Notamacropus eugenii: one gene and its partner. The protein of the gene in region 1 purifies or fractionates together with the protein of each later gene. This does not show direct contact. Links are inferred from orthologs where the notes say so. Each region holds a gene or a part of one and is shown in the gene's direction. Other genes may lie near its edges.

Region 1 (7,240 bases):
GCAGTGGTACTGGAGAGTGGTAGTGCTTTGCTAAGCAAGTGAGCAGGAGTCGTCAATCCTCTTATTTGCTCCTACTCTTGTTTATAGGGGCAGAATCTGTCTTTCCCAGCCTTGCCCTTGTTTTCTCCACACTGTCATGGATTTTTCTTCCAGCCTCTTCCTCTGTAAGAATGGTTTTCCTTTCGAAATAGCTGTGGGAAGACAATAAGAAGGAAAAATGACTGAGTTTTGTTGATAACCTTTGTTATCAGGCCCAGTGCACCACAACCTTTGCCCATTGAAAATGCTGACTCATTTTGCCTAGAAATATCTGGTGCTAGGTTTCCTTTCTTTGCTCTGGGTTATTTGTAAAGTGGAATCAATAATTTCCTCATCTATAACTTGAAAATCTCTAAAGTGGAATCAATAATTTTCTCATCTATAACTTGAAGACCTCCAAAATAGCCTTGATGAATATGTTACAATTGAAAAAAAACATATTTCCTATCTTCTCTTTTTTTTGCTATATTTCAGTAATGAAACACAAGTCAGAAAGATAGAGATTAGCCTTATTTGTCTTAGGGAAAAAAACCTTAAAAGAGAAATAAAACGAACTCAAGAAATGGAAATGCACAAACTAGTATGGTCTTAGATGCATATGAATGTATATGTGTATGATTATAGATATCTTTGAATGTGTATGTAAGTGTATTACGTATGTCTGTATATTTTTGTGTATATAGGTGTATATGTATGAATTTGTGCATGTATGCATGTGCATGTACATATGTATATGTGTGCATGTGCTCACATGTATGTGTGTGTATCCATGCTTAATTGTAGCCTTCTTGGGGGAGGGGAGGGAAGAAAGGGGGAAAAAGAACAAAATAAAAAGTACACAGCAGAGAACAAAATAAAACCTACAAGGAAGTAAAAAAAAAAGATGGACAGCTCTGAATACAGTATAAAGACTTTCTTGAAATGAAATTTATGGCTTTATATTTTGAATCCTCTCATGTTCTGCTGTGCACATGGTAACATTTTTTTCTTTTCTTATTTTATATTTAAGTTTTTTCTTTTTTCTTTTCTAATTTTTATTCAAGTTTAAAATTTTTTAAATTACCAAAAAAAAAAGAAAGAAAGAAAGAAAGAAATGGAGATTTGGAAATCAAATATGAGGAATTGCCAGTGTTGGGCTCAGTAATTTGTACAGTTTCAACAAACCCAGAATATGCTTCATGTCTATGGTCAATAACTTAACCAGATAGTCTCTTTCCTGTATCAGCCATTAGTGGTAGGTGTCCTGCCTCCCCATGTAGCCCACCTCATGTGCTGGAAGGTGTGTCTCTCAGTTTACTTCTTTTCCTCTCAGTTCTTCTCTTCCTCCTACCCAGTGATGGAATGACTGTCTTGTCTGTCAAGTTTTGACTCAATCAGTCCTGGGTTGGAACTAATTCTCTAAGGGTCAAAGAAAGGAACTCTGAAGGATTTCTATCCTAATCAGCAGGCCTGATTCCAACATCCTTATTTCCTTAGCAGCCCCAAAGGACACTACACATAGAGTCCAGAGAAAGGAACACAAGAGATGGATAAAAACGGGCTGTAAGGAAAATTGCAAAAGGGTAGTTAAAAGTCCTACATTGCAGACCCAAATATCTTTTTCTTCCATTTCTTACAAAGAAAATTATTAATATCTTTTATTTTTGATATCACTGTTATTTCTAAGTATTGGAGAGCCATTCCTTGTACTAAAAAATAAAGATGAAAAATGTCCCTTTAATAAAACCAAAGAACATTTCAGCTGTGTCAGACAGTATATATGCAATATTCTGCAAAGGGAAGGAAGCTGCTTTTCTTATCTTTTTCAGATCCAAGTTTCTTGGTCAGTATAATGACGTCTCATTCTTTTGTTCCTTACATTTATGTTGTTTTATTCATTAAATATGTTGTTTTCCTAGTTCTGCTTCCTTTATTCTACATTATTTCCTATGTTTTCCCATGCTTCTTGGTCTTCATGTTAATTGTTTCTTATGTCTCAGTAATATTCCATTACCTTCACTGACACATTTTGTTTAGCTATTTCCCCTTCCATGAGCATCTGCTTTGTTTCCAGTTCTTTGCAACCACAAAAAATGCTGCTTTGAACATTTTGCCTTGTATGAGACCTTTCTTCCTGCCTTTGACCTCTTTGGAATATATGCATAGTAGTGGAATATCTGGGTTGAAGACCATTGACATTTTTGTCACTTTCTAAAAAGCATAATAAAATGATTTTTCAGAATTATTGAACAGCTTCCTAGCTCCACTAACTATAGTGAGTTTTTTTGCAGCCCCTCCAATATTGACTATTTACATCAGCTGCTATTCTGTTGGGCTTATTAAACTCGAAAGAGAGCTTGTTGTGTCTTCAAAAGTTTATTATTCTTTGTTTTCTTTTTCTCGATGTAAAGAAATTAGAATAGACAGTGCAAAAACTAATATAAAATATTGCTTGCTGTTGATATTTCAAACACTTAGGTGATTCAGCATTGAAGCCTATTCTTCTATTTCCCCCCAACAAAAAAATAGCTGTAGATCAAATCCTATCTTTATTTTTTCTTTTTAATCTCTTTACAACTCTCATGAGATAAAATTAAAAGTTAGCTGCAAAATTAGCTAGCAAGTTTTTGACCAAGATAAGTTGTAATACTCCTGTTGAAAATTGAAAAACTATTATTTCATTGTCAGAACCAAAAATAATTTTTGCCTGCAAGCTTTACTGATGCAAATCCATATTAAGCATGATGACATTAATGCAAATGGCACAAAAATAAGTATAATTTACACTTTATCCATGGATATTAAAAACATCAAGAATGATACTGCTTCTTTTTCTCCCTCTCCCTGCACCCCCTCCCCCAGACTGGTAGGAATACATGGGAAAAGGTTTTAATTCAGATAAAGTATTATTAGATTTTTGAGAGGGAATCTATTGAAATGGATCAAATTAAGAGTCAAATTTGAGCCAATGCAAAGGGTTAAATAAAAATGATAGCTAGCATTTTAAATTTTACAAGGTGCTTTACAAATATTATCAAATTTATCTTAGAAGGAAGGTGCTATTTTAATCTCTGTTTTACAGTTGAGGAACCTGAGACAGACAGAGGTTAAGTGACCTGCCTAGGGTCACACAGCTAGGAAGTATCTGAGTCTGGATTTGAATTCAGATCATCCTGACTCCTGGTCCAGTCCTCTCTATCCTACACCACATAGCTGCCTTAAAAAAAATTGGTAGATTTGGACAGGATGGACATATAATTCAGAAAACCATAACCCCAATTTAAAGCAGGGTATCTAACAAATTTTGTGATTATTTTTGTTTCGTGTGAGATTCTTTATGACCCCATTTGGAGTTTTCTTGGCAAAGATACTAGGGTGGTTTACCATTTCCTTCTCCAACTCATTTTGCAGAAGAGGAAACTGAGGCATATTTGTGCAGTATCACATGATCTATCTACTTCACCACTTAGCTGCCCCTAGGAAATTTAAGGTTAATTTAATTACTAGAATGATTTGTTAATCCTTCCTTAGCCACCCATATTCACCAAATAATTACTTGACAATTTAGGGATGGGAAATACTTTTATCTATCAAGATTCAGAGACATTGAGAAATAACCTTCAATACAGTTTTAAATGGAAACTTTTCAAAGTAGAGATAGGACTAATAGTTGATTATTTTCAAGCCTATTTGAGTCTCATTTTAGTAATGTTCTAACGTGATGGTCACTGATAGCACTATGTACATCTCCAGGCTTGATCAGTTGAGTTCCTTGGTCAGCTTGATGAGCTGACAGACAACTAAAGCCTTTGTTTGACACTTCTGCATTCTCTCTATAGAAAGGTGGACATGTTCACTGTCTTGACCCATTCACACCTTATTTAGGATGAATGAATCTCAGTGAACCAAGATGATTGAGGATGACTAGGCCTATGAAAGGGAGACTTCATTACAGACCACAGGCCATTTTGTCCCTTCTGGCTTCTTTTTAGAGACAATCACAGAGCAGCACAGTTAAAAGAAGACTTAGAGATTAAAGGGAGTCTACGACTGTAAACATCTCCCCAGGAGCTCCTAATAGGTGCCTTGGGGAAGAGGTACAGTGTAATTACACACCCAACAAAAGAATTTCTGAGTTCCAAGTTCTAGAATCTAGCCTTATAGAGAGGGAAGGTGGAGTACCTGGGCAGTTCTTTTTTTGGGAGAAGTTTGAGCACATGACCCTACATCTAAAGGAGAAAAATAAGACAGAACCATAACAGGATAGCAAAAAAGCTGGACTTTGCTGTCCACTATCACCATGAGTTATTTGAACAAGGAAGGTCATGTAAGAAGGAGATTCCCTAGCAGTGAGCCCAGAAGCATTTCCCTCCAACTCCACAACTGTCACCTTGCCTGCACCGTCTGAAGAAGGCTTCCTACTTTCCTGTAAGGGGCACTGACCGCCACACCATCTGGGACGCCACACTGACAGACATCAGGTAAACTGAGTCTGGTGCAGGGAAGGGTGAACAAGATGGCGCTGGAAGGGACGGCCCCACCCCTGGTTTGTTGTTGTCCACTATAGTTCCAGCTTGTGTTCATTTCTATAGTTTCGGGTTTGTTTAGGTGTGTTACCATGGTTCACTGGGCTAGCTGGCAGAGACTATATAATCAGTGTCATATGTTAAGAATTGCAAGGGGGCAGTGTCACTGGATCACAGTGAATGTGGGTGGGACAAAAATATAAAAAGACTGGAAAGCTAGGAAGGGGCCAGGTTATGAAAAGCTCTAAAAGCCAAACATAATTTTATATTTGTTGCTGTTTAACTTACCCCTTACCCATCTTTAACTTACCCCTTTCTTTCACACCCCATATTCAATCAATTGTCAAGTCCTGTTGTTTTTAACCTTTATAACATCTCTTCTATATCCATCAGCTCATGTCTGGTCTATTGGAATAGTTTTCTGGTTCATCTCCTTGCCTCAAGTCTCTCCCAACTTTAATTCATCCTCTGCTATCAAATTGATATTCCTAAAGTGAAAATATGATTAGGTCAACTCCATTGGCTCACTACTACTTTCTAGCATTTCCTGACTGCAGGCATCTTTACTAGCAGTGTCCCATACCTAGAATTCTCACCTCCATCTCCTGTCTTCCTTTAAGTCATAGCTAAAGTCGTAGGGTGGACTTATAGGGCAGCTAAGGGGTGCAATGAATAGAGTGCTGGGCCTGGAGTCAAGAAGACTCGTCTTCCTGAGTTCAAACCTGTCCTCAGACACTTACTAGCTGTGTGACCCTGGGTAAGTCACTTAACTCTGCCTCAGTTACTCATCTGTCAAATAAGCTGGAGAAAGAAAGGGCAAATCACTCTAGTATCTTTGCCAAGAAAATCCCAAATGGGTCAAGAAAAATCAGACACGAGTGAAACAATTGAATAAAAGCAACAGAGTCTTAGCTCCGCAAGAAACCTTTCCCAGTCCTCCTTAAGCTTAGTGCCTTCATTCTGAGACCATTTCCACTTTATATCTTATTTGTAAATAGTTATTTGCAGGTTGTCCCCCCATTAGATTATAAGCTCCTTGAGAGCAGGGACTGTTTTTGCCTTTCTTGCATCCCCAGCACTTAACACAGTGCCTGGTACATAGTAGGTTCTTGATAAATGCTTGTTGACTTCAATTCTCCAATCCTTCAAGGTAGCATCATTAGGAAGGATGCTATAGCAGCAAGCACCCTGACACATCAAAGGTGGCCTGCTAGCACAGGTTCTTAGATCTGCTTTTCTAAAAGGAAAGCAACTTTTGAGGGGTCAACAATCGTCTTTAATTACATGTACCAAAAGAGACAATATAAACAGAGAATTAAAGACCAACAGGGCTTCTAAGTGTCTGACCATAAGCTATACACATCACAGATCAACAGACAGATGCAACTGTCTGACCATTACACACATATATAGTTATCAGAGAGAGAGAGAAGCACCAACATCTGGGTTTTCAAAGCTAGGGGGCTCCTTAATGGTTACCCAGAGACTCTTCTGGCACATGCGCCTTCTTCCAAAGAGTAAGCCCCAAAGCAAAACCTCGCCTGAAAGTACATATACACTTGACAGAGCCGGAGGACATCACAACCCTGGTGATTCAGTGCCTCCTTAATTAACAAAAGGTATGGACCTTGCTACAAAACAAGTCTCCCCTAATCAAGCTTCCCATATGGGCTCCACCTGGGGCCTATTAATGGGCAGGGAAGATCTTTAACTCCCATTATTACATATGGCTATATGAGAAAGGGAAGAGAATTGTATTGCTTGATTGCTGTTTTTCCACGGAGTGAAATAAAAGCAGGTCTGTATTCCCTATGCATTGTTATCTTCAATGTATAGGTAACAGGTTATCTCCTTAAACCATCTCCACATCAGTGGAGACCTAGTTATGAGCTACAAAAAGTATGCTCTGAGATTTCCCAGAGGAAGGACTGAATGGGAGAAAAATGAATCAAAAAATGAAAGTATTGGAGAAACACCCAAGACTGAAATGGGTTCATATAAGTCCAGAGCTTGGGACATTGGTCCATGGATTATACATAAATGATTCAGAAAAAAAATGCACATTTACTATGTTTGGATAAAACTTAATCTGGGGTCACTGTGGCAGGAGCCACATCTTCCAGTCATACAATCTCAAAGTTATGGATAGGCAGTGAAATCTAATTTAAATATAGTATAAAGGTGAAAGTGTATATCACTTAGTATATCACTCTTAAAAAATCAAGAGTCAAATGCAAAAAAAAAACCTTAGGCTTGCATAACAAAATTAACATATTTTGATACTTTGGCATTTTTAATAATTCATGAGCTCTTCCATGTGGTTATTGCTTTCCACAATACAGATCATAATCCATCCATACCTTCTTATTCCATGTGATTCTTGTCCATATCTTTTATTAAAAAAATTATTGATGCTCTTTTATTTTTTAAAAATGTCTGGCCCTCCCCAGTGACTGTCCCCTAACCCCAAAGTACCCCAACTTATAACAAATAAAAACAGTCAAGCAAAATGAATCAATACATTGGTCATGTCTGAAAATATGGGCCTTATTTTCTACCTGGTATTCACCACACCTTTTTGCCAACAAGTGGGATGCTTCACTTTTAAGTACTCTGAAGTCAGGACTGATTCATGCTTTTCAAAATTCTGAAGTCTTTTAATGTTGAATTTCTTTAAGTTATTGTCACTGTGTAAA
Region 2 (7,344 bases), on another chromosome or scaffold:
CATCTCAGACCCATCCTCCTGTTCCCCACCAAGGTCCTTACTGCTTTGTACTCAGGTGATGAGGATCAATATGAGCCTTTAGGCCTCTGAGCCAGCCAAATTTCAGTGATGATCTCAATGCCTTTTAAGGTATAACTAGATTAACCAGCATGAAAGAAGGAGTTAAGATCTTGCTCCTACCTCACACTGCCCATCCCACACTTACTACCTGTAGTACCTTTGGGTAAGTCAACATCCTTGGTCATCAAGTGAAGTAAACAAGAGCTTCCTACATGCCAATCCAGGAATGCAAAGAAAGGCAGAAAGACAATTCATCCTGTTCTTAAGGAGTTTATAATGTATTGGGGGAAGACCCTATGTAAAAAAACAAAACAAAACTGTAAAGGGTTGGAGGGGCAGGTACCCTCAAGTTGGGGGCAGGGTAAAGAATGGCAAAGAAAGTCTAAAGATTCAAGATTGCAACCTGGAGAGAATCAAAGGCATAACTGCCTTAGCCATCCTTCTCCAAATGGAAGAGCCAAAGACAGAGAAGTTGTGAGCCAAAAGTCCCTCCAGTGTGAGAAGTCCAGGGGGAGAGTGAATTTCCAGAAGTGATTTCTTTGGCATGATTCAGAGAGTCAGGAGTGCAGCCCAATCCCTCAGTTTCCTTATCTTTAAAATGAGATGAGCTCCAAGGTCATTTCCAGCTCTAAATCTATGCTCCTATTAGCCTATGAATAAGCCAGTCATGAAAAAAAAAACCAACAGAATTTATTTTGGGGGTGAAAGCTGCTGAAGCAAGTGCTTACCTGGTCCGTTCTAGGAGGGTCTGGGGCCTAGATTCTAGGCCAGGGATGAGGAAACACATAATGGAAGGGTTTGTTTTGTGAAGTTTGGATTCGGTCAAAAGGCAGCACTCTAGGTCCTAGAGGGCCACATGTTCAAGGCTGCAGGTTTCCCACCCCTACTCTAGTTTATCTCTGTGTCATCTCAAACAAGGAAGGAGGAAGGCTACTTTGGGGGCTGGGATGAGGTTCCTATCCCTTCAAGGGATTAACCTGGGGATCCCATACCAAAGCCCTTGATTAATCTGGACCATTAGAAGGCCCTGGTGTCCATGGAAGACCAGGTCAGAGGGACATCTCTGGATCAGATCCTACCAGTGTGACAGTTTACACAATAACAAAAAGACTATTAAAACAAACTTTGAAAAACTTTAGATCTCTGATCAATACAACCAGCCAAGAATGAGTGGTGAAATGTGCTACCCACCTTCTGAAAAATACATTTTCAGCCATGATCAGTTTGAAAATTTGTTTGCATATTTGTTACAAAAAGTTTTTTTTCTTTCTTTTTCTAATTTCTTGAAAAAAATGGATGTAGGAAGAGAGGGAATAGAGGAGAAGAGAGGGGCAAAATTTAGTCAGATTCTATTTCCTAAGCCTATGTTTTATCTAGACCTGTTTCCTTTGTGTTCCTGGGAACCAAACCTACCATTTACCCCAGAATCCTCCTGGTTGCTTCTGTGAGTTGTCACGCCTTCTCTCACTAACTTCACTTCCCCACCCCCAACCCACCAGGAGTCTTTATTTCCCTCCTCAAATGTCCTAAAGTGATCTTTCTTTTAGAGGAAGATAACTTCCTTGACCATGAGCTAGGACCATGTTCAAAATGCACACTCTCCAAGAGTTCTTAGTCTCCAAGAATGTCTTGGCCCTCTTTGCAATCAATCTAGCCAAGCCTATGGACTCGTTCTCAGGGTGATCAGTTTTTCAAAACAGTATTATGATGAAACTGACTATATTAAAAGACATTTGTCAAAATATTTTTTAAACCAAGTTCAGTGGGACATGAGTTAATAATCCCTACTAAGCAATGAAAATATTGACTCCCCTTTACTGCCCTCTGCCCTGTTATTGTAATGAGGTCTCTGTACATTTAATTAGCAAGTCTCTTATAACTTGAGCCAAAGTCATTATCATCTGCCTTAGCACTTTAGCCTCTGAGGGGCCCAGGTTTTCACTTCCAGAGTTATAATTACATTTGCACAGTGTCCATCTGGAGGAAGATGAGGGTGACAATATAGTCAGGACAGGCCCTGGATGTAGGGAGCTTTGGGACCAGGCCAAGTGTCCTCTTGCCTGGGACACATGCCAGAGTGTCAATGGCAGTCTTTGGCCTCTACTCACATCCCTCCTCGGTATGCTTGGCATTCCCCTTCTCTTGCTTGCTGGCTCTCCAGCTGGGTAGAGCCGCCATTTCCTGTCACACCCTGCCCCCTCTAAACTAAGCTGTCAAACGTCCTACAGTGTGGCGTGACCACATTCATTCTAACTGAAGGCAGGTTGGCATATCCAGCCATCACCTTCTCCTATCTGGGTCTCCTGACAACCAAAAGGAAAAAGCTAATTAATCCTAGCATCAGGCTGGAATGCGTTTTTCTCAGCTGCAGAAATCATCCCAGAACTTTTTCTGTCTTCTGAGATAGGACACCTTTTATGTTCTCCCACCAAGATAAAATTTAGGAAGACCAGCAATCGCCTTTTCCTTTGGCAGGGAGCCAGGGGTGGGAAAAAAATCCTTCCCTTGAGGCCTCTATCTCCAGGCCACTGGGGACTCTCTGAAGGTGCCTCTGACAGGATTTCTTGTCACCTGGTGTAATTCTGGAGTGAGGTACAGAATTACTGTCATCTTCCTTTTAGGGGGGCTGCTGCTCTAAGCTCAGAGACAGAAAAAGAGAGGGAGAGACAGAGAGAAAGAGAGAGCATGGTGTGTCCAGCAAAGAGCAGACCCTCTCCCTTTATCTGTCCCATTTCCAGCTGCATCAGGCTCACTGTGTGGGCAGCTGCCCAGCTTTCTGGTTCTCCAGTCCTTGTCTTAACCTTTGGCTTGGCAGCTGTCCTCCCTCACAGGGCAACCCTCCCTCCATTGGAGGTATCTCTAACTTCTCAGCCAATGCCCCTTACTCTCATCTCCCAAAAAAACCAACAAAACCCCAGCTTCAGACTGCAGAAACAGAAATCACAATTTCAGTACTAAAAGTTATCTTAGAGGTTATTTCAGTTTCCTCATCTTTAAATGAGGGGGTTTGACTAGGTGGTCTTGGAGCACTATGATACTAACAATCTAGCCTCAACCTCTAAACATTTTGCCACAGGAAGAAACTGAGGCACACAGGTGAAGCAACATGCCCGAAATTGCCCAGCCCAGGTCTCTGAACTCCCTAATCCAGGGTTTTTATTTTTACCAGCTACCTTGCACTAAAAATAAGGGTGCCTTCATTTTTTTAAGATCCGTACCTCAAGCAGAGCAAGGCATAGCAACATTTCTTGGACAAACAACCTAGTTAGTTTCTAATTTTGGATTTGATTTTTTTTGTTTTGGTCAGAATCTATGCTTTTGCTCTGCCACTGTCTGGGTGACCTTGAATGTGAGAACTGGATTCATCGACCTCAAGGAGTCCTTGCTGTTCTAACACTCTAATACGTCCTGACTTTTGGAATCCTCATCTTTCCCATGGTATTTTTCTTGATTCCCCCCAGACACTACTGCTGTCCAGCCCAAATCGACCTCAAAACGTCTCTTTCCTCTCTGTTTTGCTAAACCCATCCCATTCCAATATGAACTCCTAGAACTCAGTTTCTGTTTTCCTTTTGTTTTTGCAACTCCAATGCTTAGCCCACAGCAGGGACTTAATAAATGGTTCCAGGGGTGGGGAACCTGCAGCCTCAAGGCTGAAAATTTGTTTATAAATTTGTTTCTGTGAAGTTTGGATTCAGTCAAAGGGTTGAACTTGAGGACCAAGAGGACCACAGGTGGCCTCAAGGCTAAAGGTTCCCCAACCCTGGCTGTTTGGCATGTAGTAGGTGCTTAATAAATGTTGAATTTGTACTATTTCATCAGAGGACTGTAATTCCTGCCGCAGGTGCAGATGAGCAACTTATTTTTTGTTTAGAACCTTGACACAGAGGGTCCTTCCCCTTTTCGTGTGTCTTGGGCCCCTTCACATGTGTTGGCAAAATCTATGGATCTCTTAGAAGAATGTTTTAAATATTTGAAGGATACTTTAAATTTAGTTAGAGGCTAATGAAAATAAAGCTAAAAGGATTTTCCCATTCAACTTCAGGGGAACTCCATCTTTCGAACCTGGGGCTCCAAAGGAATAAATGATTTACCCACAGTCAAGCAGACAGTGGGTGTTAGAGGCCGAATTTCAACCCAGGTCTTCCAAGGCCAATTTTCTATCTTCTTGGGCCAGATGTCAGCCTACCACATTCACATATTAATCTGCCAGAATTGTAGTTTTGATTAAAGAGTAGAAAGTGAGAGAAGACGGTGGGTTCTGAGTCTAGTCCTTCTCTGGGTTTTAAGAAGTTGGCCTGTGGCTATTAACATCCCTTCCGGCTCTAACTTGCGAATGTTTCCATGAAAAGTGATCTCTGTTCTTTTCTGGGTGGTGAGAGTTGGGTGAGAACAGCCTGGAAAGCCTGGGGGGAAAGTGGAGGGGGTGGGGGGGCGGCAGGAGCTGTCTTCCCCGCTGAGGTAGCCGACTCGGGATTCGTTCCCTCAGGTTCTTAGGACATTCTGGGGAGCCTTGGATGTGCGCTTCCGAGTCTTGGAGGGGCTCAGGAAGCCCTAAGTCTTTTAAGTAAGCTCCAGCCCTGCTAGAGGAAAGGCTGGGGGAGGCTCCAAGGTGGCCAGCCCCGCCTCCTCCTTCATGTAACCTGTGGATCCAGGTGTGCCTCGAGAGCCGCCCAGTCTGGGACCGGCCGTGTAGACCCGACCGACGCAGCAGCGGAGCTCAGCCTTTGGGGCGGGCTGAAAGTTGGAATAAGCAGGAAGTAGGTTGAGCGCACCCCGGGAGAAAAGTACCCGAGCCAGTCCTTTGCTGCTGTTGTCCCAGCTGTTGAGGGGCCCCAGCTGGACGGGAGGCAGAGATGGTGAGTGAGGGAGGCCTCGAATGGGAGAAGGACTGGGAGGTGGGTCAGGAGGAAAAGGGAGGGGGAAGAGAGTGGCGATCCATCATCTCGAGGGTCTAGAGGAGAGAGAAGGCGGGAAGGCCCCCAGTGGCTCCTGTCCTTTGACCAGTACTCTGACTCTGGGCTGTCCCAGCTGTGGCTGGCTGCTCCCTTCTCTGATCACCCCCTCCTTCCCCACTGCCGGCCTTCACTTCCCTGACCTCCCTGCTGGCCCCGAAGACCGGGAATTCTTCCTGGAATGGTTGGCCGAGTTCCTGTGGGGGCGGAGGTTGAGGGAGGAGGACTCCCCGATCCCGGGAGCAGCAGAGCCCAGCCTGGCTGCCCACCCCGCCAGAGAGGGACCAAAGCCTGGCAGGCCTCTCCCTCCAGGCCCAAGGGCTCCAGCTGCTCCCTTGGGGCTCCGGTGTTCCCCAACTTGCTGGGTCAGCTGGACAGAAATGGAACTACCCAGGGCTGGAGGCGGCTTCTCCTCCCCCCTTCTTCCTTCAGTTCTGATATGAATGCAAAAGCTTTGTGGTTTGGGGGCTGGGGAAGAAGCTTGAGATCAGCTTGGGTGAGCTGGGCTGGAACTAGGACCCCTTCTTCATTACTCTTTCTGTCCGGAGGGATCAGCCTTGGCTCCTCAAATGTGGAATTTGTATTCAGTGTGTGATGTCATGATTTCAGACCTTACCTACCCAGGCTTTGGGGGTGAGGGGATGAAGGGGAAGAACCAGGAATGATTGCTTTTCTTCCCTTTAAAGCATGCTTACGTAATCTCTCCAAGCCTCTGGCTACTCTAGCTACCAAGTTACTGTTCTACTAGCCTTGTGACCTTGGGGCGGTCCCTTAACTGGGGGCCTCAAACAATTTTCCCTTAGCTTTATCTACTTAGTCCTTCCCTCTGCCTGAAAGGGAAGGGGGCAGGTCACTTAGTCTTTAATAATAATAATAATAATAATAAACAACTTTATAGCACATTGCAATCTAGAAAGCACCTTATATACATTATCCCATTTGATCCTTACCCCCACACCCACTGAGGTAGCAGTCAGTTATCCCCTCTTTGTTGATGAGTTGTTTCAGTTGTGTCTGACTTTCCTTGACCTCCTTTGGGGTTTTCTTGGCAGAGATACTGCAGTAGTTTGCCATTTCCTTCTCCATCTCATTTTAGAAATGAGGAAACTGAGGCAAACTGGGTGAAGTGACTTGCCCAGGGTCACACAACTAGCAAGTGTCTGAGACCAGATTTGAACTCAGGTTCTCCTGGCTCCAGGGCCAGCACTCAATTTATCCCCACTTTACAGATGGAGAAATGGAAGCTAATCAAAATAAAGTGATTTGCCCAGGGTTGGCTAGAGTGGATAGATAAAAGTAGAACACAGGCTTGGGAATTTCTAAGTTCAAAGTGACCTCAGACACTTAATAGCTGTGTGTGTGACCCTTAAATATCAGCCTCAATGTCCTCATCTGTAAAGATGGACATAATAATAGCACCTGTCTCACTGGGTGGTTGTGAAGATTAAACAGAAGCCAGTAGAATCAGGGCTGGAATTTGAACCCAAGGCCAATGACTGTCATGCCAAGGCTTGTTCCATACCACGTGAGGTATCACAAAGTCACAGGCTACGCTTCAAGAAGACCTGCCTTCTTTGTCTCCCACAGTTTTATTGACTGTTGGCACCAACATCCTCAGTGGCCCGAGCCCCCCTATCCCTTCGTCCTGGGCCACTGGGGGGTTGGGAGTGGAAAAAGCAGAAGTTTGTGGCTCAACGGCTGAAGATGGAAGGGGGCCGAGGAGTGGGGGGAGGGGGTAACTTAGAACTGCTGGACTCATTTCTAAGCAGCCACGAAGTGCAGCTGAAAGGAATCAACCAACATTTATCGAGCACCTACAATGTTGTTGTTGTTCAGTCTTTGTCAGTCATGTCTGACTCAAAAACCCATTTGGGGTTTTTGTGGCAAAGATGCTGGATCAGTTTGCTATTTCCTTCTCCAACTCATTTTACAGATGAGGAAACTGAGGCAAATAGGGTTTAAGTGACTTGCCCAGGGTCACACAGCCAGTAAGTGTCTGCAGCTGGATTTGAACTCTGGAAGATGAGCTTAATGTTGATTAATTGATTGCACCTTACTAAGCACTAAGGTTTACAAAAAGAAGCAAGAGATAACCTCTGTCCTCAATGAGGTTATAATCTAATAGAAGCAGGACTTTTCCAGGAGGAAATTTCTGAGAGAAGAGGGGAGATGTACTCACCTCAGAGTCTTGGAACCACTAGTGGCGCCTTCTCCCTGAGGCTGCTCAGTGAGATCTCCCCAGTTATCAGCACCATCTCCCTTTTGAAAGTACTTTATGTTTTTCCTTATTTACTGTATTTATATGATTTGTATTTACTGACTTGTGTGG

The links.
Region 2: the proteins of STX11 (region 1) and VAMP8 purify together in Homo sapiens (co-immunoprecipitation; 3 studies listed by BioGRID and IntAct, counting the BioPlex papers as one, with this or other methods). This does not show direct contact. The link is inferred for Notamacropus eugenii from reciprocal best matches to the Homo sapiens genes STX11 and VAMP8.

What each region holds. Positions count from the first base shown.
Region 1 is NC_092873.1:232,385,429-232,392,668, forward strand, and holds the start of STX11 (syntaxin-11), read left to right. Parts: upstream 1-4,221; 5' UTR 4,222-4,499; intron 4,500-7,240. UniProt on the Homo sapiens protein: SNARE that acts to regulate protein transport between late endosomes and the trans-Golgi network.
Region 2 is NC_092872.1:726,536,944-726,544,287, reverse strand, and holds the start of VAMP8 (vesicle-associated membrane protein 8), read left to right. Parts: upstream 1-4,330; 5' UTR 4,331-4,916; coding exon 4,917-4,919; intron 4,920-7,344. UniProt on the Homo sapiens protein: SNAREs, soluble N-ethylmaleimide-sensitive factor-attachment protein receptors, are essential proteins for fusion of cellular membranes.